Notamacropus eugenii: one gene and its partners. The protein of the gene in region 1 interacts with the protein of each later gene in a biochemical or structural test. Links are inferred from orthologs where the notes say so. Each region holds a gene or a part of one and is shown in the gene's direction. Other genes may lie near its edges.

The links.
Region 2: the proteins of CFTR (region 1) and NHERF4 form a complex in vitro, tested with the Homo sapiens proteins (2 studies listed by BioGRID and IntAct, with this or other methods). The link is inferred for Notamacropus eugenii from reciprocal best matches to the Homo sapiens genes CFTR and NHERF4.
Region 3: the proteins of CFTR (region 1) and NHERF2 form a complex in vitro, tested with the Homo sapiens proteins (4 studies listed by BioGRID and IntAct, with this or other methods). The link is inferred for Notamacropus eugenii from reciprocal best matches to the Homo sapiens genes CFTR and NHERF2.
Region 4: the proteins of CFTR (region 1) and PRKAA1 form a complex in vitro, tested with the Homo sapiens proteins (2 studies listed by BioGRID, with this or other methods). The link is inferred for Notamacropus eugenii from reciprocal best matches to the Homo sapiens genes CFTR and PRKAA1.

The regions. Positions count from the first base shown.
Region 1 is NC_092874.1:135,437,129-135,444,256, reverse strand, and holds the start of CFTR (cystic fibrosis transmembrane conductance regulator), read left to right. Parts: upstream 1-4,123; 5' UTR 4,124-4,960; intron 4,961-5,196; exon of another isoform or gene 5,197-5,348; 5' UTR 5,349-5,374; coding exon 5,375-5,427; intron 5,428-7,128. UniProt on the Homo sapiens protein: Epithelial ion channel that plays an important role in the regulation of epithelial ion and water transport and fluid homeostasis. Mediates the transport of chloride ions across the cell membrane.
Region 2 is NC_092876.1:279,616,352-279,623,769, reverse strand, and holds the start of NHERF4 (Na(+)/H(+) exchange regulatory cofactor NHE-RF4), read left to right. Parts: upstream 1-4,407; 5' UTR 4,408-4,508; coding exon 4,509-4,524; intron 4,525-4,851; coding exon 4,852-4,879; intron 4,880-5,109; coding exon 5,110-5,183; intron 5,184-5,571; coding exon 5,572-5,783; intron 5,784-6,060; coding exon 6,061-6,256; intron 6,257-6,366; coding exon 6,367-6,503; intron 6,504-7,092; coding exon 7,093-7,297; intron 7,298-7,418. Other genes in the region: NLRX1 (NLR family member X1), read left to right, coding at 2,138-2,389, 2,864-3,185.
Region 3 is NC_092872.1:48,222,537-48,229,526, reverse strand, and holds the start of NHERF2 (Na(+)/H(+) exchange regulatory cofactor NHE-RF2), read left to right. Parts: upstream 1-3,988; 5' UTR 3,989-4,677; coding exon 4,678-4,887; intron 4,888-6,990.
Region 4 is NC_092875.1:419,373,473-419,380,900, forward strand, and holds the start of PRKAA1 (5'-AMP-activated protein kinase catalytic subunit alpha-1), read left to right. Parts: upstream 1-4,415; 5' UTR 4,416-4,610; coding exon 4,611-4,737; intron 4,738-7,428. UniProt on the Homo sapiens protein: Catalytic subunit of AMP-activated protein kinase (AMPK), an energy sensor protein kinase that plays a key role in regulating cellular energy metabolism.

The DNA.
Region 1 (7,128 bases):
CTCTTGTTGACCAGTATCCTCTGTTTGTTCCCTCTCACCTCAAATTAAAACTCGTTCTTAGGAAAGGATCTGGCGGACTCAATGATCTTTTTCATAGTAGGCTCTTCATCACTGTTTGTTGACTTGGAATGAAGATGTAAATGACTAATAAAGCATATGTGATCCCTCTTCTGAAGGAACAAATCTCTACTTATAGAATTTTAGGCTCCCTGAGGTATTTTTGGAGGTGTGGAGGGTCTTCTCTTCACATGTACATACAAGATAATGTATGTTAAGTATGTTTCAAACCTTAAAGGCCTATATAAATGTCAATCATTAAATCATTATTATACCTGCTTATGTTGTAGAGAGGATTCTTATTCAGTACAGGTTGGGCTAGATCATTTTTGAGATTCTTTCGACTCTGATGTCCTGTGAGTCTGCCTAGCAGGTAAACTTTGCATATGCACTGGGAAATGTTTACTTTAAGGGTGAAATGCCACATTAAAGGTGTTAACATTCTCTCTAGTTCCATGACAATGTGGACCACTAGGAATGAGTAAAAATGTGAAGCTTCCTAAAGCCTTGGCTTACTTCTTGATCAATCAGAACCTAACTGACCAAAGATGTAAATTATATGAATGTGTCCCCTAAGGACTCTGGATTAAGTTTTATTTGTCTAGATGTCTCTGTTTCTACTGCCTTTGGAACCTATCTCCAGGAATTCTTTATCTGGTCTTACAAATGGCAATTTCAGTGGAGAAAGATAATTAATGACCAGTTCCACCATTCTAGGATTAGTCTCTGTTCTACTTCTTAGTGCTCAGGGCTATTTTGAGTCTCAGTATCTTGGTCAAGAGCCTGAGTCAAGCCAAGAAACCACAGTTTGACAGCTACATAGAGCATAAGGCTTTATATATCCCCTGCACACAGGTAAATTTGACTTTCAAAGAGTAATTCAACCTCCTGATGTCACAATTAGTTCACTAGAGCATCCCTGTCTTATGCTATTGATGTTTACAAGAATGTCACACTGTCCAAATTTGGTTCATTTTTATGTAATATTTTATGACATAGATAAAAGATTAGAATGAGAATAACTGGGAGAAAAATAGCATAATCTAATCTAATTTATCAATATTCAAATCCAAATACCTCTGGTGACTCACTTAATTATTTTTATTTTGTGATGGCTGACATTGTTTCTTTGATGAGTTCTCAAATCAAATGCCATCTGTAAAATGAGAAGATTGGACGAGATTATTCCAAAGCTTTTTCATAGCTTGCATTTTCCCTATATAATTGTATAGATGCAAGAAGGGAGTATATGTATGCTTGTGAATGATGGTGAGGGAGAGGAAAGGAGGTAAGGAAGGGGAAAATGGGAACTCCAGAGATTTAGGCTTAATATAAGGAACTATTTCCTGTTAATTAATGCTATCCAAAAGTAAAATGAATTAAAGTGCAAATTCCTCTTAATGAGAATTATTCTAGAACAGGCTGCATATCTCCAGTTAGCTAATATAATCTCTAGTATGAGCCCTAGACTTGGAGTCAGGGAGATCTCCGTTCAAATACATCTCAAACTGTGTGATCCTGGATAAGTTATTTAAATTCTCCCACCCTCTTTCAGTTTTGTTTTTTAATTTGTAAAATGATAAAAAAAATAATAGCTAGCATTTATATGGTGCTTTAACATTTATACTTTGCAAATATTACTTCATTTGGTCCTCATAACAACTCCTGGGATGGAGCTGCTATTGTTACTCCCATTTTACAGATGAGGAAACTGAGATAGACAGAGATTAAGTGACTTGCCCAGAGTCACACCCCTAAGTAAGCATTTGAAGAGGTATTTTAACTTAGGTCTTCCTGATTCCAACTCTCGTGGTCTATATATTGACCTAGCAGCCTCTAATAATAATTGTGCCCCTTATCTCACAGGATTATTGTGAGAATCAAGTGAGTTTAAATGAGTTTAAATCAAGTGAGTTTAAGGTCTTATGGAAACATTAGTTTTCTGTTTTTGTCAAGGATGTTGTAGGGGAGATTCTAGTTCAGGGATGAATTGGATTAGATAGTTTCTGGAATCTCACCCAACTCTGAGAGCCTGTGATCCTATGACTAGGCAAAAGAGGAAGGATGGTTTTATTGCAGAATTGATCAGAGGAAGGGGATTAGATTAGATTTAATTAGATTGTTACTGATGATACTACCATCTTTCCACATGTCCAAGTTCAAAACCTTAGTCATATTTGATTCATCCCTCTCCTTTAATCCTCATGTTCTACTGGTGGCTAACTCATGTTCATTCTACCTTAAACCTCGCTTGTTTTGATCTCATTTTCCCCATTCACATGACTACCTCTCTAGTTCAGGGTCTTAGCACCCTTTATCTGAATTATTGCAATAGTTCTCCTGTTGGAAGATGGATTATCTTCCATCCATCCTTCACACAGCTGCCTTTAATAGTCTTCCTTAATCACTGAATGAGTGCTGCCTCAGACAAACAGACCTGGGAAAGCCCTTAGCTGAAAAAGGCCAAGGTCTCCCACTGAATCCAGGGCCATCTCCAATCATCCTGATCTATATCTTGCCACTAGACCCAGATGACTCTGGAGGAGACAGTGAGGCTGGGGACTTTGCACAGTTCTGCCTTTCTTAAAACCTATTCACTTGCAAGTCAGGACATCATCTTCCTGATGTCAGGACAAACAACAACAACAACAACGGTAGTCTTCCTAAGGAACAGACTTGCCCTGGCCCTCTCCTTAAAAACTTTTCAGTGCTTACCTTGTCTCTAGGATAAGATAAATACAAACACTTCTGCTTGGAGTTTAAGGCCTTCCATAATCTGGCTCCACTCTACCTTTCCCACATTATTTTATGCTACTTTCCTTCAAACATTACATTCCAGCCAAACTGGATTATTAGGTGTTCACAGAAGTGGAGAGCCATCATCTATTGCCTCCATCCTCCTCCCTCTCACCCTGATATGACTGGGATGCAATTCTTCCTCTTCTCAGCCACTCATTTCAGATTCCTTTTCTGGCTTCCATACTCAACTGGCATAGTCACCTACTCCTTTTTGCCTTCCCTGATCACTTCAGATATCTCCTCCAAAATGCTTAAAACATTTTGTCCCAATGTCTTCTTTGCTCCTATCACTCCTTGCCTTGAATTATACTTAATTATGTACTTATATTGAATACCCCCTCAATCCCAGTAAAATGTAAGCTCCTCAAGGCTAAGGACTATGACATTTTCATCTTTGTATTCAGAGTGCCTACCATAATACATTTTAATGTAGTATTGGGAGTGATGCATGTTTGTTGAAATTGGTCTCTTTTATTTCTTCTACTTAGTCAACTTCTATGAATCTCTTTTGAATCAATATTCCTAATTCCTTTATTATCACTTGCTCCTTGGCAGCCAAGAGGAACTGTATACTTGTCGGTTTTGAAACTTGTGCAGTACACATGGTGGGTCACACTTAGTTGTAAAGTAAACAGCCAGAGAGGGTGAAAAGGGCATTTAATGAGCCCAATTGACATACCTGGGAAAAGTAAATAGTAAAAATATAGCTTCAAAGTTTATGTCCAGGAACTCTTACTGGAGGGAGGGAAAGCCTGCTTGAGAAGTTTAGCAAGGGAATAGGAGTCAGAAATATTGACCCCATTTTTGTCTCCGCTGCTGATTTGGTGTCTGACTTTATATGAATATTAATCTGTTATTTTCCCAGCTGGCAAAAAAATACAATGATACTCCTTTGTAAAAACACTTTAAGATTTAAGAAGAAAAAGGGTATTATTGAAATGTAAACCATGCATTCATTATTTTAAATACATATGACTAATTCCTTCACTGGCATTATACAATGAAGATTATAGCCATACTTCACTGGGATATATGTAAATCAACAATCCAATAATTTCAAAGTAAACAAATTTGCTGAAGAAACAACACAAATAATACTCAACAAACTTTCTCCCATTCCAATTTGTTCAACTCAAATGTCAGTGCGTACCTTTTTTTTTTTTTTTAACAATACCTTTGGAGAATTTACCAAAGGTGTGCTTGGCACTTTAAAAAAAATTTATAAAAGGAAGGAAGAAAGAAAGACAAGGAAAGGAACTCACGCATCAGAACTCAAGGCAGTACAATGCTTTCGAGAACTTCCTAAAAGTGAAGAATTGTGATTTCTTCCATGTATTTTTTTTCTTTCAGGATCCCTGGCAAAGTTGTGCCGAGTTTGCGCTTCAAAGACGTTTGATTGCTTTCAGGGTCAGTCAGGTTTTGCTTACAGAAAGTGAACTGAGAAATCTGACGGAGGACAGGTACGTTTACCTAGTGCAGTGAGTAACCGTGGATATGGAGAGAGACTGCCAACCAAGGCTGCTGGAAACTGACGAGCCATGAACAGATCTGAGGGGGGGGCAACAGAACCAAATCTACACCTACTTCGGAGGAGGATTTTCCTTTTTAAATAAGCAATTTTTCCAAATTGGGTTGCTAAAGACTTTTGAATCTTCCCTTGAAAGTCTGAAGCAAAAAAAGGCTCGTTTTTTTTTTTTTTTTTTGGTAAAGAAACTCATTAACATCAACACACCAAACACCCCCACAGGAACCTTTCAGCTCCATAAGCCTGCATTTTAGAACAGGTAGAGACCTATTTTTGTGGCTTTTTTTTTTTTCCAAAATGCACCACGATTAATAATAATTGGCAAAGGATTTTAGAGAAGAGGAAGAGGAGGAGTAGGAGGAGAGGCAGGTAGAAGCCTAGGGAAACTGGCAAGTAACCTGTCCTTAGTACCAAGGAAACTGGGCGAGTAAGAGTGCTCTACAAGTTTTCCCAAGCGACTGATTATTTGCCCTAACTTTGCTTCGTATTGCCCCCGGGAGCTTCGGAGAGAAGGGGGAAGACGCAGAGAATGTGCCAAGATCTCGGACTGCACTGGAGGTGCAAGGTAGCGAAGAAGAGGTAATTCTCGGTCTGGGAAAGAGCCCGCTGGGGGCAAGGGAGGCGGAGTAGAGAATTAGGGGGCGGGAAAGGCGGGAGGCTCAGAAGCCACTAGAGAAAGGGGAAGTGTGGAGTGGGGTGGGGAAAAAGCAGCCGGGGCGAATGTGAAGCTGGACTGCCTGTGGCTCGCCTTTTAACCTGGGCATCCGGGGAGGAGGAGGGGAAAGGGGAAAGAGGTGTAAGGGGGCTGGCAAGGAGAGAGATGGGTGGGGGGAGTCTGTAGGAGGTGGTACATGACATCACAGCAACCCAAGTGAATAAGGTGGGGAGAGAGAAGGCAGCAGGAACAGAGTGGACTGGGTCGGAGAGTTTGGCAATTAAGAGTCACCACTGCAGTCTACTCCTGCAGGGCACCCCGGCAGCCCCCGAGGGATCATGCAGAGATCACCCCTGGAACAGGCAAATGTCCTCTCGAAACTTTTCTTCAGGTAAACGTCTTGCTAGTCATCCGTGGTAATGACATGTGCCTGAGGGAAGAGGGGAGTGTGCAGGTTTGTACCAGGGGTTTGGGTCTAAAGGCATTGTTTTTTAATTTGTTTATTGTGAAGTATAACCTTTGAGTGTTTCTCTAAGAAAGGTTCATTTTTCTACCTAGAGACAGCTGAAATGAGAAGGGAGATTAAAAAAAACAACGTGAAAGCAGGCTAGCAGAAATGCATGTGTATTGAGAACAGTTAGGTGAGCTCCCCTAGTTGCAAGACCCTATAAACCTGGGTTTCCTAACTATCTCTCTCTCTGTGTTTCTCTCTCTGTCTCTGTCTCTCTCTCTCTGTCTCTGTCTCTGTCTCTGTCTCTCTCTCTTTCTCTCTGTCTCTCTGTCTCTCTCTCTTGGATCCATTTCGCAGTCTGGTGAAGCTTATGGACCTGTTCTCAAATTAAGATTTTTGAATAATTTAAGGAAATGTTATTCATATACATTAGTGAAATTAAAGATGTAATTATTTTCCTATCCAAGTTCATGGATCTGAAATCTATCTATGGCCCTTTTTTAACTGTTTTTAATAATGCAGTATCTGTTAGAAGCTAAAATTCAAAGGAGCTACTTAAACACTGACTTACCCTATGGTTAGCGTCTTTGATTTTTCCAAAGGAAAGTTATTTACCAAGTGGTTAATAACTAATGATTAAGATATTTCTCCTTTACATATTTAGAGATTTCAAAAACTCCCATATCTATTTTGTTGCAAATGCAGCTAAGACATTGTGTACTGCCATTTGAGGAAGAATATTGAATTAAACACATCTTTTTTTGATGGTGATGAGGAGGAAAACTTTTCTTTGACAGAGGAAATTCTGTTTGCCTCAAAGTACATTTGTCTTTTGAATAATGAAAGAAAATTATTCCAGTTTCTAACATGGGGAAAGCTTAGTTATGCTACTCATGAATTGGAGAAGAGTTCATTGTTTCCATGGAAACAGGAACGGGCAGAGCAATATACTGAATTGTAGGTATATCCAACTAATATTTAATAAATTATTCTTTTGTTCTTGTGTGTGAGATAAGCTATGAAAGTTGGAAGTATCATTTAGTAAGGGTTTTTAATGCTAAGTTTTAGGTTTATAGTCTTAGAGTTTAACTAAATAGCTCTATTTCAGATGAAAAGTACTTCTAAGATGGATGTTCAGTTGCTCTCTTTCATTTTCACTTTTTCCTCAATGAAATAATAAATACAACTACTTTGATGGAAGTTATCTTACTCAATTTTCCAAAACCTTTTATTCAAACATTAACAGAATTTGATAACCAAAAGCAAATCAAATATGAATGTATATCTATATATAGTACTTAGTGTATATGTGTATATATGTGTGAATATGCATTTTAGAGGGGGGAATGTTTATTCTCATATCCACCTTGTATCACCCTTCCTAATATTTAATTTTATGTATGTGTCAGGGGAATTTTAAATGAGGGCAAACCACTGAAGGAGAGCTCCCTCCTGTGGATGTGAGAGCAGGTTTTTACTTTTAATATCACCTTTTTCTGTTATTTAGGTGAAGGTAAATATTATGAAGAAAAAAATCATCAAACTATAAGAAGTAACCTAGCAGTCTTTCTGTTGTTATCTCTTCACTAACTTCCTACCTAGGCTTTATTGCTTTGATTTGTATTAGGTTTATCTGTATAT
Region 2 (7,418 bases), on another chromosome or scaffold:
AGATATATAGATAAATTCACTCTGATAGCAGAAAGTGAAGAAAAATTAAGAAGTCTGTTGATGAGGATAAAAAAGGAGAGTATAAAAGCTCCTTGAAGCTTAACATAAAGAAAATAAAACAGAAAACTAAGATCATGGCAATTGGTCCCATCATTTTTTGACAAATAGAGGGAGAAGAAATGGAAACATGGTCAGATTTTATACTCTTGGGCTCAAAGATCACTGCAGACAGCAACTGCATGAAACTAAAAGACACTCCTTCCTTGGAAGGAAATCTATGGCAAATCTGGACAGTATACTAAAAAGCAGAGATGTTACTGTATGGACAAAGGTCCATATAGTCAAAACTATGGTTTTCCCAGTAAAAATGTGTAGCTGTGAGAGTTGGGCTATAAGGAAAGCTGACAGAATTGGACATACTTCTTGACATACTAGAGAACAGAAGGGCTTGGTGTGTTATAATTCATGGGGTCATTGAAGAATTGGACACAACTGAATAACAAAGTTTTAATATAGCATCTACCATGTGCCAGACAATGTACTAAGTACTTTACAAATATCTCACTTGGTCCTCACAACAACCCTGAGAGGTAGGTGCTATTATTACCCCCGATTTACAGCTTAGGAAACTGAGGCACAGAGGTTAAGTGACTTGCCTAGGGTCACACAGCTAGTAAGTATCTGAAGCTAGATTTGAACTCAGGTCTTCTTGAGTCTAGGCCTATTGCTCTACCCACTGTACCCACTGTACCCCCTAGCTTGTCCTCAGCTGAGACCTTTACTAGAGAGTTGCTGCAAAGACTTCCCCCCAGTTACCTGATTCTCTTCTAATTTAGCTGCATCTGCCTCCTCTCTACCATATATAAGTCTCACATGACTCTTTTATGGCGTCTTCCATTGGTTTCTTTTTTAAAGCTGCTCTTAATGAATAAAGGATTCACTGTCTGGGAAGTCTCAGGGTGGCAGGCAGCAGAGCCAAGGACTCTGGAAATTGGAGAAAAAAAATGAGAAGCACCTGAAGCCAATTAAAATGTGATTCATAAATATTTAACAAAATAAATAAAAATACAATAAAACATAGATAACATGGCATTTTATGGCTAAGTCAATATACACCTGCGAGGATCCTTATATATGGATTAGCGGCTCTGGTTTCTATTTGAGTTTGACACCACTGGTGTAGCAGAAAGAGCACTATGTCTGGCATCAAAGGACCTGGTTCAAATTCTGGTTCTGCTGTTTAGTGTCTGTGTGATTATGAGCAAGCTGTTTCTTCCCACCTGAACCTCAGTTTCCTCATCTGTAAAATTAGATGGTTGAATTAGATTAAGGCTTTTTACTTTAGTATCTGTGAACTTGGTTTTAAAAAATAAATTTATAACTGCTTCAATATAAGTGGTTTTCTTTGTAATCTTATGTATTTTGTTTTATGCATTTAAAACCCATCCTTTTAAAATTTATTTTTCCCATTTAATAGTGTTTATGTTTTTTCCAATTACATGTAAAGATAGCTTTTCAGCATTCACTTTTATAAGGTTTTGATTTCCAAATTTTTCTTTCTCCCTCCCTCCCTCCTTCCCCAAGACAGCAAACAATCTGATATAGGTGATACATTACATCCATTTCCATATTAGTCATGTTGTGAAAGAAAAACAGAACAAAAGGGAAAAAAATACAAAAAAGATAAGTAAAGTGAGAATAGCATGCTTTGATCTGCATTCAGATTCCACAGTTATTTCTCTGGATGTGGAGAGCATTTTCCATCATGAGTCTTTTGGGATTGTCTTGGATCGTTGTATTGCTGAGAAGAGCTGAGTCTGTCACAGCTGATCATTGCACAGTGTTGCTGTGAGAAGGGGCACCCACATTTCACCAGACTACCCCAAGGGTCCATTACAAAAAAAAATTAACTTCTTGACTAGATGATCTCAGATCTCTTTCAGCTCTAAGTCCTGTGCTGCTAAGCAGATTTCACCTGAATAACAATGTTATGTGAAGGGGAGGACACTTGTATTACTATCTCTCCTAGGGATGGACTTGGTGTTGGTTCTTGGTAAATGTTGTTGGCTCCACTCCTCAGAATTCTGAGGCAGGAGGGTGTATCATTTTCCTATATCTCTCCTTTCTTCTACTGCAGTCTCTCCAACAACCCACTCACAGCACCAGGACTGGCCCTCTTGGTAGAAGGGCTGAGTGGGAACACTTCTTTGACTCACCTGTCTCTGCTGCATACTGGGCTTGCAGATGAAGGCCTGGAGCTGCTGGCTACCCACCTGGAACGAAACCAACAGCTCCGGGAGCTGAATGTGGCCTATAATGGAGCAAGTGATGCAGCAGCCCTTGTCCTGGCCAGGGCTGCCAGAGAACACCCCTCCCTGGAGCTGTTACAGTAAGTGATCATTCGTTCCCTTCTTCCCCTAGTCTTGGGCTCAGCTTCCATCTTTTTAAGGCCAGACACTCTTCCCACTTTCCTTTTTAGATCAGCTAACCTTGAGACCTGCATGTGTAGAAGTTCCCTCTCAGTCTTCACATCTTTTGATTAATGTCTATAATTTAAACTCTTCTGGTCCCTACTCCAACTTGACCCTTTTGTAAGTGGTCCCAATCTTTCTTTCTTCCACCATTGTTTCCCTTAAAGTCTTAGCTGCCTGGTTCCCAAACTGGATCTGGTCTACACTGTACCTTGTGGCTACCCTTAAGCCCCCTTTGGCCACCATTCTCTCATCTCTCACTTCTAATTAGTTATTCTCCCTTCTCTACTGCCTCTGGTTGCTTTGCTCTCCTTTCTCCATTATTACCTACTTTGCCTTTCCCACTGTGCCTCCTGATGAATCACCCCTTCTGTTTCCCCTTTCCTCACTAGCCTTTATTTCAATGAGCTGAGCCCAGAGGGCCGGAAGAGACTACGGGAGCTAGAAGGTGCTACCACTGGAAGGGCCCGAGTAGTGGCATCGTTGACCGAAGGCACAGCTGTGTCAGAGCACTGGTCTGTCATCCTGGGTGAAATTCAGCGCAACTTGAAGAGCTGGGAGCGGGGCCGAGTCCAGCGCCACCTTTCCATGCTACTGCGAGACTTGGAAGACAGCCGGAGTGCCACCCTCAATCCCTGGCGCAAAGCCCAGTTGCTGCGGGTGGAGGGAGAAGTCAAATCTCTGCTGGAGCATTTAGGTAGCCCAGGGAGCTGAGGCAGGCAAGAGGCACAGAGTCATCCTGGTCCTTAGCACCCGCCCCCTTATCCCTTGTCAGCCTCTACGTATGGTGGTGGAGAGATCCTTTTCTGAGTTGAGAGGGCTTCTTCAGGACTTGGGATGACGAGGGAGTGGTCACAGCACTGTTCTGACACGGCAGATTCCACCTGTGCTCCCTAAAATCTGGGGAACCCAGATCACAGCCATGAAATTGTTGCTATACTGGGGGACTTGCTTGCTCTCATTTTGTTGGGGGAGGCATGTCAGCAATGGAATAGGATGGACTCTGCCTTAGCATTTTGAGGAGCCAAGTTACTTTCTTCCACTATCCCTGATAATTAGGGTATGAAAGTTGACCATCATCTCAGCCACCCCCACTTGATGTGGCCCATGCTTGCCCCTTGTTTCTGGAGAGATCACTTAGTTTAGTTGTGAAGACAGTGACCATCTACCTGCCCATACTGCCCCCTCCCTTCATCCTGTGCCAGATCAAGTACTCTTTATGGATGCCAAGGGGGCCCACAGGGGTCATTTTCCATCGGTACCTTCTCCTTATTTGCTTTTCTCAGATTCATAATGAAGTTTGGTGGCTCCTAGAAATTAAGTGCCCTGATTTGCTGCCATTAAAAACAAAAACATGTGTCTTCTATCTGATGCTATGGTCTTTTCTTCCTTGGAAAAAATAAAAAATAAAAAAAACTGTATTGCTAGCTGAGCCCAGAAATGACCCTGGGGATGGTTCTCAGTAAATAACCAAGTAAGCTCTACTACTCACTGCGTGGTCTCCCTTCAGAGTTCTGGGGCAAGAAGGAGTATCAGTTTCCCATATCTCTCTCTCCTTCTACTGTCTCCAACAATCTGCTCAAAGCAGAGGGCCTGGCCCTGTTGGTGGAGGGTTGAACTAACTCACCTGTCTCCCTTCCTGTCTGTTTCAGTTGTGAGTGGTTTCATGACTTAGATGTTATTCAAGTATGGGTGCCAACAGGTTTTGGGAGTCTAAGGGGGATCATTTGGAGAAAGGATAGCCTATGATTTGCTGCAGGGCTGGTGTTGTTCATCTCAACTTTGTCTTTAGGCTCAGAACAATAGTACCTGTACCTCTTGGTTTGGAATACCCAGAATGGACCAGAGGGAGACTCCTGAAGCTGATTGAACATTGGCAAATGGGAGAAAGTTCTTCACTTCCCTAGAGGCAAGGTTCTCCTCAGTTAACCATTACCTCAGGCAACAGTGTCTTAAAGGAGGCGGGACTTGGGGAAGGAAAGGAGGGTCAGCTGCTTGTGGTGGACCTTGTCCCTACCCTGAACACTCGGCCCAGACATGGAAGCAGCAGCAGGTAGAGAGCATAATGAAGTGCCCCTTAAGGAGGGGACCATGGTGGGGGATACTGAAAATGGGGAGCCTGATACCTTGGAATTAGTGGTCAAGGTGTGGGTATCGGGAGGAAGTAATTATGACAGGATATTTGCTCCATTCACATTCTATGTGTATCTCTACTCATAGATCTGCGCCAGGGATCCTAGGGTTAGAGAAGGAGCTAGAGGGCAAAGGGGCAACCTGTATGGGAATGGGATTCAGACAACAAAGATCATTCTGGTGGTATAATCCAGAATTGGTAAGGGCATGTGTGTTCCTTGCCTTCACCCTACTCTTTCCCCTCCAGATCTCCAGGATACAGCCACATTAAATCTGTGAGTTCCGTAAAGAGGAAAGAGGAGATGTCCTCCCTTCTCCTCTATGTTGAGGATGGAAGAAAGGAAAAGGAGATAGGGAGTATTGCTTCTCTTGTGTTTAGTGGGGGTGGGGGTGGGTTGGGACCAAGAGAAAAGGGATGGTTTTAGCTTGGGGTGGGGCTCTGGTGAAACTTGACTTGGGCACAGTGCCCAGGATGGTACTATCCTTTCCACCTGCCTCTTTACAGGAAGTTTACATTTAACCCGAAGTTGGGGATTGATAATCCTGCACTCTCATTAGCTGATGACCATGACCACCTTGGTAATTTTCTCTGAACCCAACATTCATCTATTCCCTTCAAATGAAAAGTATCCCAGCTTTTCCCCAAACACCCCCATCTCCGTAGCAATCACCCTCTTCCATCAACCTGAGAACACCCAGTCAGTTCTGGGGCCCTTGCCAGTTCTTCCTCATCCCCATACCATTAGGGTCCCCTGAACCCTGTCCTATATGTGATAGGTACTCTCACCACACATGTGTGGTTTACTTTATTCTCCTCTGTTTCCAGTTCCTTTCTCCTATGGGGATATTTTTGACCTGTGCCCTAGAAGGGAAAGTGGTGTCCTCTGAGAGATAGAATAATCACAGTGCCTATGGTGATAAACTGCCCTTCCTTGAACTTTAAGTCTGGCCTCTCTTTCTCTGACAGATTCCTGGGGCCTTCAGCACCCCCGTTTCTGTCTGCTAAGCAAAGATGAGGGGGGGAAATTTGGCTTCTGCCTACATAAGGAACTGGGCCAGACTGGGCACATAGTCCGAAAGGTGGAACCAGGCACTTCTGCTCAGCGCCAAGGGCTTCAGGATGGAGATCGAATCCTGGGGGTCAATGGGGACATTGTGGAGCATGAGGACTACAGTGGGGTAAGGTTGTCTAGGTCAGTGTTGGTGATGTAACCCTGTTATGGGTTACTGAGGGCAGGCTGGTCACTCACTAGAGTAGTGTGTGTTGTCTAAGCACCATTGAGTTCTCTCTTTCTAGCACAAGAAATGACTAGGGGAAGAGAGGAGTTTGGGGGAAGACCTAGAGACAAGTGGTATTCTCAGGAAGAAATGAGGCTATTTAAATGGGAATATGCCCAGATATGGATCTCCTGAGGGACTTTCCTTCAGGAGCTCCCATGATTCCTTCCCTGCTCAGGTGATACGTCGAATCCGTGCAAGTGGTCCCCGGGTACTGCTGATAGTATTGTCGGGGAATGTCGAGGAGGTTTCTCGTGCTCATCAGGCTAATGGCAGTGGTGCCCCTCTCTGTCCTGTCCTGGATTCTAGTGTCCGACCTCGGCTGTGTCACGTGGCGAAAGATGAGGGTGGCTTTGGCTTTAGTGTCACCCACGGTGTGAACTGGTTCTAAGGATTTGAGTGGGGGGAGGCAGGCAGACAAGGAGAAGACTCTCTCACAATTTCCTGGGCAGACAGCAGACTAAACCCTGTTCTCTGTTCCCAGGAGAGAGGGGCTTTTTCTGGTTGATTTTGAGTTGTGGAGGTGCCGCAGAGAGGGCTGGGGTACCCCAGGGGGCTCGGTTGCTGGAAGTCAATGGGATCAGTGTGGAGAGTTTCTCAAATAGTCAGCTCAGCAGAAAGGTACAGAGCCTCTTCTTCTGCCTTTTCTACTTTCCATTTGGATATCCTGAAGTCCTATCTTCTCCTTTCAGTCAGCACATCCGTAGATGGGGGAAGTGGGAAAAAGGGTAAAGGATTTCTGCCTCTGAGATATCTCCTTCTGTCATCTATTCTCATGCTCAATTACTCTCACCTCACCTTTGGAGGATGTGCTTTTGATGTTATAATTAGAAGCACACTGGTTCTGCAGTCAGAGGACCTGGGTTCAGATCCTAGTTATGATGTATACCACCTGTGTAATTTTAGAAGTCACAATTTCCCTGGGTTTCTGTTTTCTCATCTGTAAGATGAAGGATTTGAACTAGATGGTGTCTGAGGTGCCTTCTAACTCTAGATGTATGATCCTATGCTGTTCCTTGACCCCTCCTTTGAAGGTTCATACCAGGTCCCTTCTATTCCTATCCTTTCACTGTGCCAGGGCTGCATGGTGACCCAGCCACCCTCAATGCCTCTTTTCCTGTGTTTGGGAGGAGAGGATTCTGGGGAAGCATCTGCCTTGAGCTACTCTGTGGTCAGTGGGTATTTATTCCTGGTCTGGGGGTCCCCACAGCTTCGGCAGAGCGGGGAGCAGGTGGCCCTCCTTGTGGCAGGGCCAGAAGTGGAAGAACAATGTCGTCAGCTGGGCTTACCCCTGGCTGCCCCCTTGGCTGAAGGCTGGACACTGCCTGCTTGGCCACGCCAGCTGCATCTAGAAAAAGGGCCCCAGGGCTTTGGGTTCTTGCTTCGGGAAGAGAAAGGCCCCAATGGCCAGCTTGGTGAGTGGGGAACCATGGATAGTATGGGATGAGAGTGGTGGGTGGGGAGAGTAGGGGTGGGCATGCACCTAAGCCATTATCTACCTATCCCCTCCAGGCATGTGAAAGGAGCTTCCATTCC
Region 3 (6,990 bases), on another chromosome or scaffold:
TGTGAGTGACACAGCTCAGGAGAAATGATAGAGGGATGAAGGAGCAGAAGCAAAGATTTTTGACCTAGGAAAGAATCTGGAGCCTTAAAGGGAGTTATTGGGGGGAGAACGAGGGGAGGTCGAGATGCAGTGGAACTGAGGCCATAGTGCCTGGTATTTCTCCAAGAGGACTCCACCTTCATCACTGAACCTAGCTTAAACCTTGAAGATATGGGCTCCAGTCACCAGTGAGTGACCTGGGTGGAGCTAGTACCAGCTCAGTGAGGTATGGGGTAAAGAAGGCAGCAGTCAGAAGGTAATCCTCACTCCACCCTAATGGCCCTGCAGGAGTCATCACAGGAGTACAGGCCCTGAACTCAAGTATCTGGGGTCCCAGGTCCTGTTGTTCTGTTCCCCTTCCCCATTTTAGCTCGGCATGTACTAGAGGGGCCCAGGACCAGGTAGAGGAATACAAGCCAGGACTGAGAGACATAGCCCATAGAGAGACAGACCCTATAGACAATGTAGTATGAGGGAACCAAAGTAAAAAAGACCCAGGAGAACTGTGTTCAAACCTTGGCTGTGCTCTTTACTACCTATCTGAATTTGGGCAAATCCCTTCTGTTCTCTGGACCTCTAAAATGAAGTAGCATGGCAGGAGATGTTACCTAAGGTCCTTCTCAGCTTTAATGTTAAAATGTTGGAGCTGAATCAGGGTCCATCTGAAAACAAACTCATTGGACCAGGCCAGAGAGAAATTGATGACTTAACGTCCCACCAGCATTAGCCTAAGTGGCTTTTATGCCAAGGTAAGTGTGGGAGAGGAAGTACCATGTGGAAGTCCATTTAGCCAGGGAGAATAACCCGAAAAAGGGGTGGGAAATTGTTGCTGGGATGCCTAAAGATCCAAGACCAATAAGACAAACAATGATGCTGAGGTTGGCTGTGGGATAGCCCTTTCTGGTTAGTCTTTCCATTGGAGAGGAGCAGCTGTGATAAGTGGCTCTAATCCTCTGCCTTCATGGGGAATTGGCTGGGTCTGCTTTGTGGGACACCCTCGAGTCTGGTAAGTGTGTTTTTCTCTCTGCATATCTGGCTTTGTGTATCTTTGTGAACTAAAGGAGGAAGGGGACCCCCCGAAGAGAAGCCAGAGAATCCTGGGAAATCCTGGGAAAACCTGTGGAGAAGAGAGATAACTTGGGGGCTGTGGGATAGAGGCCTAAAGAGGAAAAGGAGGTGGACAGAGGCCTCTACAGAAAGGAGAGACAATGAGGAAGGGAACCTGAGAGTATGAAGAATGTAACACAGGTGGGAAAGACAGAACCCCTGGTGGTGGGAGTGGAAACCGGGGTTTTGCTCCAGGGTACCACTGATGGTAGAGGGTGCTAACAGCTAACAGCTCTTTTGGTTATTGGACAGTGTAGAAATAACAGAGGTCAGTACTTGGTTAGCAGGAATAAATTAGTCAAGGTTAAGAAGCTTTCAGATGGTGGGCCTGGGTGAGCTCCTCTGGAGTTCATTTGTTTTCTGTGCTTTCCCCAGGTGGAAAAAATTCCTGGGCAAATCTGAAAGGTTGGAGAAGAGCTTGGAGGTTAAAGAAATTCTCCTAACACAGCAGGTATTACTGTCACTATGAACACACAGTCAGGGGTTACTCTCACTCACCCACAAGCACTCATAAAAATCCATTTGGAGGGTTCATCTGAGGGGCCAACATTTCTTCCTTTAATAAAGATGAGAACATATACAGAAAGGCAAATTTTTACCCTTGGGGGGCATATTAACTCAAATGAAAGAGGCCACTTTTACTCAAGGGTCTATGATTTTCTTAAGGTACACTCTTCCTACCAATGACCCAGAACTCAAATCAAGTCTACACTGTGCTAAGTGCTGGAGAGAGCTGGAAAGGCAAAACTAGTCTCTGTCCTTGAGGGGCTCACAATCTAATGGAAGGAGACAATATGAAAAAAACATGTGCAAATAAGATGTGTAAAGGGTAAATTGCAGATAATCTCAAGAGAATTTCTCCATAACTTTGTGGCCATCTTTGAAAATTTTCATCAGCCTGAAGAAGAGATGAGAAAACGCACCTCTCCCTTTCTCCCTTCTTTGGTGACCTGGAGGACTATAGGTGGGGAAATAATTGCAGACTTGGTTGATGTCTTGGCTAGTTTTACCAAGGTTTCCCTTCCTCCCCCTTTGCTATTCCTTGTCACAAGGTATGGCTCAATGGGTAAGAGGATGGAGGGGTATATTCAGAAGATGATGTAAAACAAACAAAAGGTTGCAATACAACTTTTAAAACTGTGGCCAAAATACGCATCTCCCTAGAACCAATCTGGTGATGAGTACCTCTGAACTTAGTGACGCTGGGCTTTGGACAACCAAAGTTAGTTACCAAAAGTCTATACCCTTATTCTTTTAAGTGCTCTTTAGCTTTTTCTCCTAAGTCAGTTTTAGTGGGATCCCTGCAATCTTCAAAGCCTAATTATTAGGTTTAAATGAACAAGATTTGACCTGAAAAGCAGACTTAGCTAGTAAGGCTGGCCCATTCCAAAGGACTGAGGAGCAAAAAATAAACAAACTGAGAACTGTGGAGGAGTAGAAGGGAGTGATGGGATATTGGCTGAAGGGGGAGCATGGCTGATGAAAGTGTAGCAGGAGGAAGAGGGGGAGAAAAGAGGAGAGGGGAGACTGCTATCTTGTTGATCTTGAATCGTAGTGGCCATGGACAGAGCAATTTATTCCCGTTAGGGACCCTACCTTGCTCAAATCCAGAGCAGTGTTAGCCACGATCCAGAGAGGTTCTCCAATCCTTTCTGAGACCAAATAAATGCTAAAGCCCTCTAGGATGGGACTGTTCCGTTCATTATTATAAAGTGAGCAGAGGTGGAGAATTCTCCTGAAGATTGAGCAGATCCTTACGTCTGACAAGAAAACTACCCGCAAGAAATGTTTCCTTTTTGTGGAATTTGCTTCTTTCTCAGAAAAGAGAAGTCTTGCTTTGCTCTGCATAGAGAGAGTGTACCAGGCCCTCTGCCTTCCGCTCCCATACTGAGCTGGGAGATTACAAGGGGACTTGCCAAATGATCCTAGGAAGGGAATCCCTAGGAGATGAAAGGTCAGAAGAAGCAGGTGGGGTAGGGTTGGGAGAGGGGCACAGCCTGAATTATTCCCCAGCTGGGGAGGGTGGATGAAGTCTGAGATAAGAGACTAGCATTGCACGAAGAAAGAAACAGCCCTCAAAATGCCCCAGCAAGTGTATTTTAGAATGATTTAGGGACTGGGTGTGTGTGTGTGAATACAAGTGTGTCAGGGAGTGTGGGGGTACTGAAAAGGAATGGGGAAATGGGCTCGTGGAGACAGGGTGGGTGGGGTTAAGAGGATCTGGACTCTCAGGGACCTTCCTGAAAGATGGTGGGGATTTCTTTCAGGAATTGGTAAAGGAAAAGAAAAGACCTCTGGGAAGGAGAATTTTATACCAGGGAAACCTATCAGGGGATGTCAATGGAGTTAGGGTGAAAGGAGGCCGCAAGGCTGAAGCAGCAGAACTGGAAAAAGGACCTTAAGTTTTAAGTCACATACCAGGCAGCCTGTGATTAGGTACCTTCGGGGAGCAGTTGGCCCCTGTGCAGGACAGGGCTTTCTGATAGAGGACAGATTGGGTGTTATTAGAGGGGAGGGGTAGTGTTAGGAGTATTATCGAGGGATCAGCCTTTCCTCCTGCTTTGGAAACCTAGGAAGTAGGGTACCCCTTCCCCACCCCCTCCCGACACCGTGTAACTCAGGGACTGGCCTGCTCCGAGGCAGAAGGACGGGCCAAACGACCCCTCAAGTCCTTTCCACAGGGTACCGGAGTCTCCAGGCAGGTCCCCTTCCCCCATCCTGCGGCTCCGCCCCCGGACCTCCCACCCGGCGGGGGGCTACTGGGCGGGCGACCCGAGTCCCGGTGGGCCGGAGGAAAAGGAGGGGGTGGAGGAGGCGGGGCGGGGGCGGTGCCGAGCAGGAACCCCAGCCCGAGCCAACCCGAGCCCGATCCCGAACCCGAGCCGGAGCGGGAGCGTAGCTTACCCACCACCGCCGCTTGGTTCCAGCAGCCGCCTGTCTCCTTGCTCCAGCTCCAGCTCCAAGCCTGGACCCGTCCTTGAGGCGGCAGCAATCGCAGCCTCTGGTCCGGTCCGGTCCTGCTTGGTCCGGCCCAGCATGGCAGCAGAGGCCCCTACCCCTGGTCTCAGTGGTTTCCCGGCCCAGTGCAGCGTCCAGCCCCGCCTCTGAAGGACTCCCGACGGAGGTCCCTGGGAGCCAGGCGTCCCTGCCCCCCAGCCCGCTTCCCTTACACTAGTTGAACTGCGGCCCGGACTTCCCGGATTCTCAAGTTCTGCACTTCTCTGCCTCCTTCCGCCGTGCACCCCGATCTCCAGCAACTGAACCCCTCCGCACTGCACTCCGGAGTTCCATCCCCCGGATCCCTCAGCCTTGCCCCCGCCATCCCCCCAGACCTCCCTCCTCCCTCTCTTCCAGCTCTCATCCCCTACCCCCCTTCATTTTCCTCGTACCACATCCTCGGTCCCTCCGGGTCCCAGACCCCCCTAGTCTTGCGACCCCTTCCCGAACTCTCCAGCCCCAGGACCCAGGACTCGGGGTTCCTCACAGTCGCCCCCTCCCCTCCCCTGAGCTCGCGCCCCCAGCGGCGGCGCCATGGCCAAGGACCAACTGCGGCCCCGGCTGTGCCGGATGATCAAGGGGGAGCAGGGCTACGGGTTCCACCTGCACGGAGAGAAGGGCAAGAGTGGCCAATTCATTCGCAAGGTGGAGCCGGGCTCCCCCGCCGAGGCGGCGGCGCTGCGCGCTGGGGATCGGCTGGTGGAGGTGAATGGGGTCAACGTGGAGAAGGAGACGCATCTCCAGGTGGGCCCGAGATTGTGTGCCTGTGGGTGTGTGTGATGGACACAGAGGGTCCATCCTGTGTCTGTGTGATCGAACTACTCTTGTACGAGCCTGTGTTGTCATACCGTGATTGTGTCAAGGTTCAATAATGTGATATTGCGTGCCTGTGTGACACTGTGTTTATATGGTGATACGCTCTGTATCTATATGTGTATTACTAGGGGATATTGTATGTCCTTGTGGAGGTCTGGAAGGGAGCAAGGGGAAATTGTCAGGAGCTGGGAGGGTGATATAGTATGTGTAGCTAGCCAGCTCTGTGTGATTGTGTGGGTCACTATTTTGATGATGAATTCCCGGCTGTATCTATATTTGATGTAAAATACTGTATCCAGGTGATACTATATATAGCCATATATGACACGGTGTAGCTGTATATGACTGTGACACTGTGTGTAGCTAAGTGTAGCTGTGACTGCATTATATTGTATCCATGTGATATCATGTATAGTTAGCTATGTAAACAGTGTATCGTGTGATACCATGTGTGACCTTGTGTGATAATCCACCACATATAGACATACAGACACTGTGTGATGCTATATATGTATATACTACGGGACGCTGTAGATCTGCATGACCCTGTACTAGTATGTTACATTATATATGACACTGTGTGATACTGTAGATCTATGTGTGACAGTGTGATGTGACAATGTGTATAACTGTGACACTATCTGTATATGACTGTAAGACTTTTCTTGTCTATTCACACTCTGTATCTGTGTTTGGGTGTCAGAGACTGTGTTGAACACTGAGAAAGACATTGTTGTCCTCAAATCTAATCCAGCTCACAGCTCTCTCTAGCATCCGCCTGGGGAAAGTCTCCCTGTATGAGGAAGAGAAAAGTATCAGGAATCAGGAAATACCTGTCCCTAGGATGGGTGTCCTAGCCACTGTCAGTGGGTCCTGGAGATGGGGGTCCTTGTCCTGCAACTTGGCTCTGTTTGGAGAGGAGAGCTCTTGGGTTTGGACTGTAGGCTCTCCTGGCACCATGACTCATTAGTAAGGTAGGGGTAGTACAGTTCTCTGTAGATTGTGTTTCCCATGTGTATGTATGTTTGTATCTGTGTGTGTATTTTTGAAGAGGATATATGGGTGTATGAACACTAGACTTGGATTCAGGAGCTCTTGTTTTGTTATTTACTAACTGGGTGACCTTGGGTAAACAGTTTATCTCCCTGTTTATCTGTAAAATGGGGATGATAATGTTAGGACTTCTGGCCTCACGGGAATGTCATGAGGAAAGATTTGCAAGCTGTTTTATCTTAGTTTTTCCTGGTTGTGTGCACAGTGTGTGTATATGTGTGCTTATTTCAATATATGTGAGACAATGTATTATATAGTCTAATCTTTAGCTCCGAAGCTAAAGCTCCAGACACACACCCTGGGACTGCAGCTGGGGCCTTATACTTTTGCTTGCTCTGTCTTGGCAAACTGCAGCAATCTTAGGCAGGGCAGGGGTGGGGTTGGGCTCTGTGTGCATCTCTCCATCAGTCCTAAGGGAGAGAAGGTTGGGTAAGGGGCTTGCCTTATAGAATCAAAGAATGATGAAACAACTGGGGGGTATTTGACTTGGAGAAGAGAAGACTGGGGTAGGGATCAGGAGAGCCCCTTTCAAGTATCTGAAGGGCTGTCATATGGAAGAAAAATTAGACTAGATAGATCTGTTTGGCTCTAAAAGTACCAGGGCAATGGGTAGAAATTGTAGAAGCAGAATTTACAGAAGCAAAGTTAGCCTTGAATAAAGGAAAAACTGCCTAACAATGAGAGCTGTGGCAAAGTCAGTGGGCTAACTCTAGTGGAAGGCTTTAAATAGACTAGATGACTACTTGTCCATTGTGGTGTGGTGGCCTTGTATCTCTGGTATGGGATTGGATTGAGTGGCTGATGGGGTTCCTTCCAGCTCTGAAATTCTGTGATTGTAGGATTTAAGAACCGGAAAAGGACTTAGAGACCATGTAGTCCAGTAGTTTCCTACCTTTTTTTTGTATGGAGGACACTCTTGGCAGTCTGGTAAAAACCTCTTATTAACTGACCTCGTCTCAGAACAATGTTTTTAAATGC
Region 4 (7,428 bases), on another chromosome or scaffold:
ATGAAAGCCCTTCCATTTTGTTGGACTAAACGATCTAATTTCTATAATTTTAGGTTATATCTCCTTTAAAAGATTATATGATTCTTAAGGGCAAGGATTATAGGAGATTTAGAATAACTAACACAGTTATAGTACTTCAAAGTTTGCAAAGTACTTTACATATTTTATTTGTGTCACAACAATCCTTTTAAAAAATATTTCCCAATTACATGTAAAAACAACTTCTAACATTCATTTGAAAGAAAAATGAGCTCTAAATTCTCTCTCCCTTACTGCCCTCCTTCCTCCCTGAGAGTGAGAAATTTGATATAAGTTATACATGTGCAATCATGAAAAACATATTTCCGTATTAGTCATGTTTTCAACAATCCTTTAAGATAGTTATGACATTTATTATTATTATCCCCATTTAGCAGATAAGAAACCAAGGTTTCTTAGATTAACTGAGTTGTCCAAAGTCACATCACTAGTAACTGCAATAATCCAGGCTCAGATTATAATAAGAGGAAAGCAAGATTTCCATCTACTTTTCTTTTCAAAGTTTCATATTCTAAACTATTTTCAGTGAGTGTAGGTAGCAAAGACTAGTGCTTGTAATTGTGTTAACTGTGTGTGCACGTATGTGTGTGTGTGTGTATGTGTGTGTGTATAATGTAACTTAATTTTTGTTCTTTGTTTTCACACAATTCCCAGTGGCCATTAGAAAATACAAGCTAAGTTGGTATCTTGAGGTTTTATAAAAGAAAAAGAAAAACCTGACAACTCTAATCATGAAAGAAAATTTAAGAGGTTATTTGAAAGAAAAGTGGCATATTTTCTATCTTCTCAAATGAGAAGCAGGAAGTAATGTCTTTTCCAGGAAGAACAGGGTTAGAGCTGTAGAAACTCATAGAAGTAGGTAAGGCTTTTTAAAAAAAATCTAGGGAGAAAAGAGAACAGGTCAAATTCATTTAATCACTTAATTTTTAAAATTTTGATATGTTTTAACACGTTTACCCAAACAGACCTCTTAATGAAATACTTTCACTGAAAAAGTTATCAATTGTTGACAAAAAGGATATATCTTTTAATTCTGACTGTATGGTACTAACATTATCTGTTGTACTTGTCCAGTTTTATTTTTATTTTTAAACTCTGCATGTTTTTATTTATAGACCTCTTCTTATTTCCCTATAGTGATCCCTTGGTGAACTCTACACCATCCTTTTGAGTTACCATGCCCCAAACCTCAGTCTCCCAACATTTGCTGCTTTTGTTCCTATATACATGCTTCTCAAGAAAATCAGTGCTGACATCTATAGTGCAATTCACTACAAATTTGTTATAGAACCTCAACTGGGCCCTCACTGTTGCAAAGCAATCCTTTTATATCTCCCTAATTAACTCACTATCCCCCTCACCCTAGCAAGTCTTCCAAACTTTTTTTTATTTCTCTTCTTTTCCCTCCTCCCATTCTCTTACCTAAGAACCTTGTCTCATATTTTACTAAAAAAAAAAAAAAATCTTTGAGATCTTCTTCTTCTCCCCTCCTCATTAAACATTGCCCAGATGTCTTCTGTCCCTATCTCCTCTTTTATTCTCTCACATGAGATTGCCCTTCTCCTTGCAAAGGCTAACTTCTCTATATGCAAAAATGATCTATTCCATTCTCCTTTCTTCAGGTTTGTTCCACTCACTTATCTTCAATCTCTCTACTGGCTGCTTCCCTACTGAGTCTTCCCCATCCTCAAAAAACTCCATCCATCCCTAGTCACTATTATCTTATAATTCCCCTTCTTTTGGCAGCTGAACTCCTTGAGAAGGTTATCTACACAATAGATGCCTCCACTGCCTTTATGCTTACTCTTACATTCCTACAGTGTTGCTTCCTTCCAATTTTATCTTTCAAACAAAAGTGCTCTCTCCAACAATCTCTTCAATGCCAAATCTAATGGCCTTTTCTCAGTCCTCATTCTTCTGAACCTCTCTGCAGCCTTGACATTTAATCACCTTCTTTTCTTCTTTTGGGACATTACTCTCTCCTAGTTCTTCTTTTGCCAGACTACTCCTTCTCAGTCTCTTTTGTTTCATTCAGGTAACACACATGAACTACAGGTGTATCACAGGGCTCCATCTGGGGACCCTCTTTTATTTTTCCTCTATACTATTTACCTTGGCTATTTCAGCATCTCCCATGGACCCCATCTTTCTGCTGATGATCCTCATATCTACTTATCCAGTCCTAATCTCTCTACTGACCCCCAGTCTGCATCTCCATGTCCCCTGAACATTCTGAATATTCCATAGACATCTTAAACTTAACATATCCAACACTAAACTCATTAAAGCTCGCTTCAAGTCCTCCCCTCCAACTTCCCTCTTACTGTGAAGAGTACCACCATTATCCCTGTCACCCAGGTTCTCAACCTAAGTGTCATCCTGGACTCCTCAACTCTCTCTCCATCCCCAATTCCCTCCCTGCCCCAATCCAATACTATTGCCAAGAACCGTTACCTCAGTCTTCATAATATTTCTCAAATCCACCCACTTCTCTCTTTTGACACGGCCACCAACCTAGTCCTCAGTTCCTCATGACTGGACTACTGTTCTGCCTGTTACACATCTCTCTCCACTTCAGCCCATCCTCCACTCAGCTGTCAAAGTGATCTTCCTAAAGCATAATTCTGACCATGTCACTCCCCTCCACTCCCCCACTCAATGAACTTCAGTGGCTCTTTATGACTTCCAAGCATAAATATAAAATCCTCAGATCCAAAGCCCTTTTTAATCTGTGGTTCCCTGCCTCTCCTGTCCATTCTAGTTCTTATAATCATTCCTTCCCCACCTCCACCCCCTTGATACTCTGGAATTCAGAGACCCTAGCTTCCTTGCTCTTTTCCAAATGAGATACTCTATCTCCCCGTTCTGGGCATTTTCACTGGCTCTACCTCGTCCCCCTTGCCCCCCACTCCATGCTTACAATGCTTTCTCTCTCCTGTCCCTTGCTCCTTCCTTCTTTTAAGTCTCAGCTAATACCCTACCTTGAACGGAAAACTTTTCCCCATCCCCCTTAATCTAGTACTTTCCCTCCGCTGATCATGTACAATAGATCTTGTCTATAACTTGTTAGTATGTAGTTGTTCGAATGCTGTTTCCCTCATTAGACTGAGTTCCTTGAAAGAAGGGATTTCCCCCCACTTTTTTTTTTTTTTGTATGCTCAGTGCTTAGCAAAGTATCTGACTCACAGCAGCCACTTAATAAACGTTTGGCCGACTTACGAACATTCTTGTACATATAGAGTTGCGGGGTCTTTGTTTTGATTTTTCAGTCAATAACCTGCTTGGAATAATAGTCTCAGTAGGGGATTCTTCTGGGTATTGAAGAATATGAATTTTTCTTGCGTAGCCCCAAATTGTTTTTCAGAATGTTTCAATCAATTCATAGTACCTGACTTCCCACAGTCACATCTTTTTACATCTTTGATAGCTTATTGATACTTCCGGGTTGTTTTAAGTTTAGCTAAATCCCACGAACTATGTGATATGCGACACACACACCCTTAGCTCCCCCATCTTTGAACAGCAACAATTATCCCCTTTTCATTGCTTTGGATTCCTTCAAGCATTTATATGCAGTCTCTATTGAAAATGAAGAAGTTCGAATATTGACTTAGAATTTTCCCCTGGTCATTCATGTATGCCCTGTATCATTGTGAGGGCAGGGATCTTTGCATTTTTCACAGATCGTATATCATCACCACATGGCTTAATACATATTAAATTAAATAAACGGCAAATCAAAATTCTATCCAACAAAATCTTAAGAACTTCAAATTCCTTGGGTCGGCCACGTTGGAGTTGTTTGCAACAAGATTAGACTTTTCCAGGGATACGAAAGAGGCTCAAGGGGTCGGCTAAGACGTTAGCGGCGATTCTGGTGGGTGACTAAGGATGGGCAAGGAGCCCCTTCACGGGCTTTGCCAAGGCAGGGTCCCCGCCACTTCTAGATCTCCGGTGGAGAAGGAAAGCAAAGGCTGGGGGCGCAGGGCGGGCGGACGGGGGGCTGGAGTCGGAACCCCTGCCCAGCCCCCCTCCCCCGTCTCCGCTCGCTGCAGTTTCCAGCCTATGCCCAAACATCTGCAGAGCAGACTCGAGCAGAGCCACGCGCCGGGCGGCCGGCTGCCCACGCTCGGACAGCGCCCGCCTGGGCTGGCAGCCAGCGCTCCGGCCCCAGCGGGCAGGGGGGACAGCCCGGGGCGTCCTCCCCGGGCGCGAGAGGGGGCGCCGCCGGAGCTACGGAGGGGGTGGCGGGGCCCGGGGACGGCTCCATCCAGCACCTCGGACTCAGTCCCCTCCGGCCGCCCCCGCCACGGAGAGTGGTTGGGGCCAGACGGCGGCGGCGCGGCGCAGGAGGAGGAGGGGACCGGCGGGGGCGCGGGCCGCGACAGCCGGCTCCTGGGCGGAGGTGACCCACCCTGGGCCCCTCCCAGCTCTGCCTCTCGGGGGGCCCCCTCCTCCTCCCCTTCCCCCCCTCTGCCTCTCCAGTCTCCCCTCCTCCCTCTCCTTCCCTTCCCTCTCTGTCCCCGCCCTCTTCCTTCCTCTCCTCCCTCCCCCTCCCCCCCTAGGGCGCCATGCGCAGGCTCAGTTCCTGGAGGAAGATGGCGGCCGCGGAGAAGCAGAAACACGACGGGCGGGTGAAGATTGGCCACTACATCCTGGGGGACACGCTGGGGGTCGGCACCTTCGGCAAAGTGAAGGGTGAGAGCCCTGGGGCCGGGCTGTCCCGCTGCCGCGGAGCTGGGGGACTCCCCCCCACCCCCCGTTTCCTCGCATCTCCATCCCTCCACTTTCCCCCTCCCCCCCTCTCCCTCGCGCGCCGGGACCCGGGAAGTCTGGTGCGGCGTCCGGGGGGCAGCCCGGGAGAACCCCCGGTGCCCACCCGGGTCGTCCTGGCCGCGCGGCGGGGCTCGGACCTGGTCCGCCCCGGGCGGCGAGGCCAGATGCTGGGCGCCTGGCCGGAGGTCCGAGTCCCGTGCCGTGGCTTCAGGCAGAGCGAGCCCCAGGGAGGTGGGGGGCCCCCCGGTCCCCGCTGCTTCTCCCCAGATCTCCTCCGTGCCCGGCACTATTTCCGTCCTCTTGACGAGGCGAATGTTCTTGGCTGTCGCCGAGCCAATGAATTAATCCAGGTGACACGAACCCCAGCCTGTTAAGCTTTGGGGGTGCTGTGTAGACCAAGTCACCTGGTCTAGCTGGAGCACCCCTTCTTCAGGGGTCTTGGAACCGCTCCTTCTATTATGATGTATTGCCAGGTCTGTGTTCTGCCTGTATTCTGTGCCTTCAACTGTTTTTGGACAGTCAGCAAGTGTCCTGTATTCCGTGTCTGCCGAAGCTGTTAGCTATTTGGCGTGCTTACCCCAAATAAGGTTTTTAGTTTATTGTAGGTACTAATGACAGCATTTACCATACATGGTGTCATTCACTTTTTGAGAAGCGAAGTATATTTTTTTCAAAGAATTGGAAGAAAAACTGTACCGGAGTTCTCTCTGCCAGTCCTATTTCAACACCATGTTTATGAAATGAAGTATCAAGGAACTTTCCGTCTCCTGTTTTTCACCAAATGCTGAAACATTGCAAAATAGGTGCTGTTTAAACATTTGATATTGGCCACTGGGTAGAGTAATAGAAGAAATAAGGATGGCTTTTATGATAAATAGTGATAGGAAGCTTATTTCCCTTTCCTATAATTTTTCTGTTACAATAGTTTTATGGGTGCAACCTACCTGGTACATAAATGCTCAGTATTTACTGTTTTGATTTGAAAAGTATTTAAAAGTTTGGATGATGAAATAAATAAATAAGTCTTGCTCTTCTAGAGCTAAATAAACATTGTCTGATTTTATCTTGGGAGGGGAGAGGAGAACCCTCCTTTCTCTTGCCCCTTTCTGAGTCATAGAAGTGGAAAGTTGCTGTGTAGCTCACAGGGAGAAACTGCCTAACAGTACTTGTGAAAATCAGCAAGGGCTACAATAAGTTGAATAAATGTAAGAAACTTAAGCAAAATGACAGAATGGGTTAATGATAGTTATTAGGGTGGGTCTCTTTTAGGCTTAGATTTGTGTGATCCTGACTGAATTGTGGCTCTGCTATCAATTAGAGCTTATGTGTTGTTTATTAGTACTCTTAAAAATACTTGTTAGCATCCTAAAAAGATGTTAAACTATCCTTGATTATTTCACCTGAAATTCTTCTTGAATTAACACTAAGATCATTTACCTAACAGAAACATGATTTTTCATTTTGTCATTGTAGAGACACCACCCTGCCTCCCCACCCAAAGATTTCAAACATAGTCATATTCATTTAAGATTTGAAAACAGAGATTGGAAGGCAGAATAAATGAATTGCTCAAGCAACAATTTGTTGTGAATTCAGTGAGATCTTTTTGTTATGATTGGCAGGGTAGAACATCATTGTTAGTGGAAGAGGTCTTCTTGCACATAGTTGGTAGGTGTTAAGTGAATGGAGTGTTAACTTTACTCAAAACTTTTTTTTCCACCTTTAGCTGTCTGGATGATTTTATTTTTTATACAGATAGAACCACTGGAAAAAACATTTTAATCTTGTTTCCTTTATATAAAACTTCACAGTTTGCACAAAGTACTTTTTTGTTGTTGGATCCTTACATCAACTATCTGAGGTAGGTAGTGCAAGTATTGTTCCTATTTTATAGGTGAAAAAACACTGAGGCTTGGGATGTTATGGACCTTATTCCAGGTCAAGGGTAGTATGTTAGTAGTGAGTCACTGAGCCCTGACACAATCACAGATCTTTTCAGATACCAAGGTCAGAGCACTTTGCCTCCCATACCACAGTTTTGAATCTGTTGTTCCTTAAAATTATAATGGCTCTTTTTGTTCTTGATTGCTCAGCCATCAATACCAGTAAGAGATAGTCTTTTAATTTTGTGTGTGTGAGATGTGAATTTCCTGTATTTTTAATTGTTAAAATTTAAATTCCAAGTTAATGATGTTTTACCTGAGACAGTAGATGTTTCCAAATAAAACTAGTTTCTTTTAGGTCAAAATGGATTGACATAGTAAAAATTTTAGATGTTTTGTTTAAAAAATTATATGTACTGGTTCTTGTTTTAAAGTACTTCTTCCCCTCTCCCAGCTTGAGCATAATTGGGTCACCACTCTATTGTCAATGTAAGTAGAAGCATGGGAAAATGGAGGGGAGACACATTTTCAGCACAGGTGCTTGACAAAAATTGCCTTGATTTGGTGCCTAGAAACTATTTTACCTGACATTTATTCCATTTAGAATCACATTCCATCAGATTTTAATCTTTTATAAAATCAAGATCATCCATCTGGTCTAAGGAAAAGCATTTGTTACAATGTTCCAATGCATTTAGACAAAGTTACTTGTGGAAGAGATACAGATAAC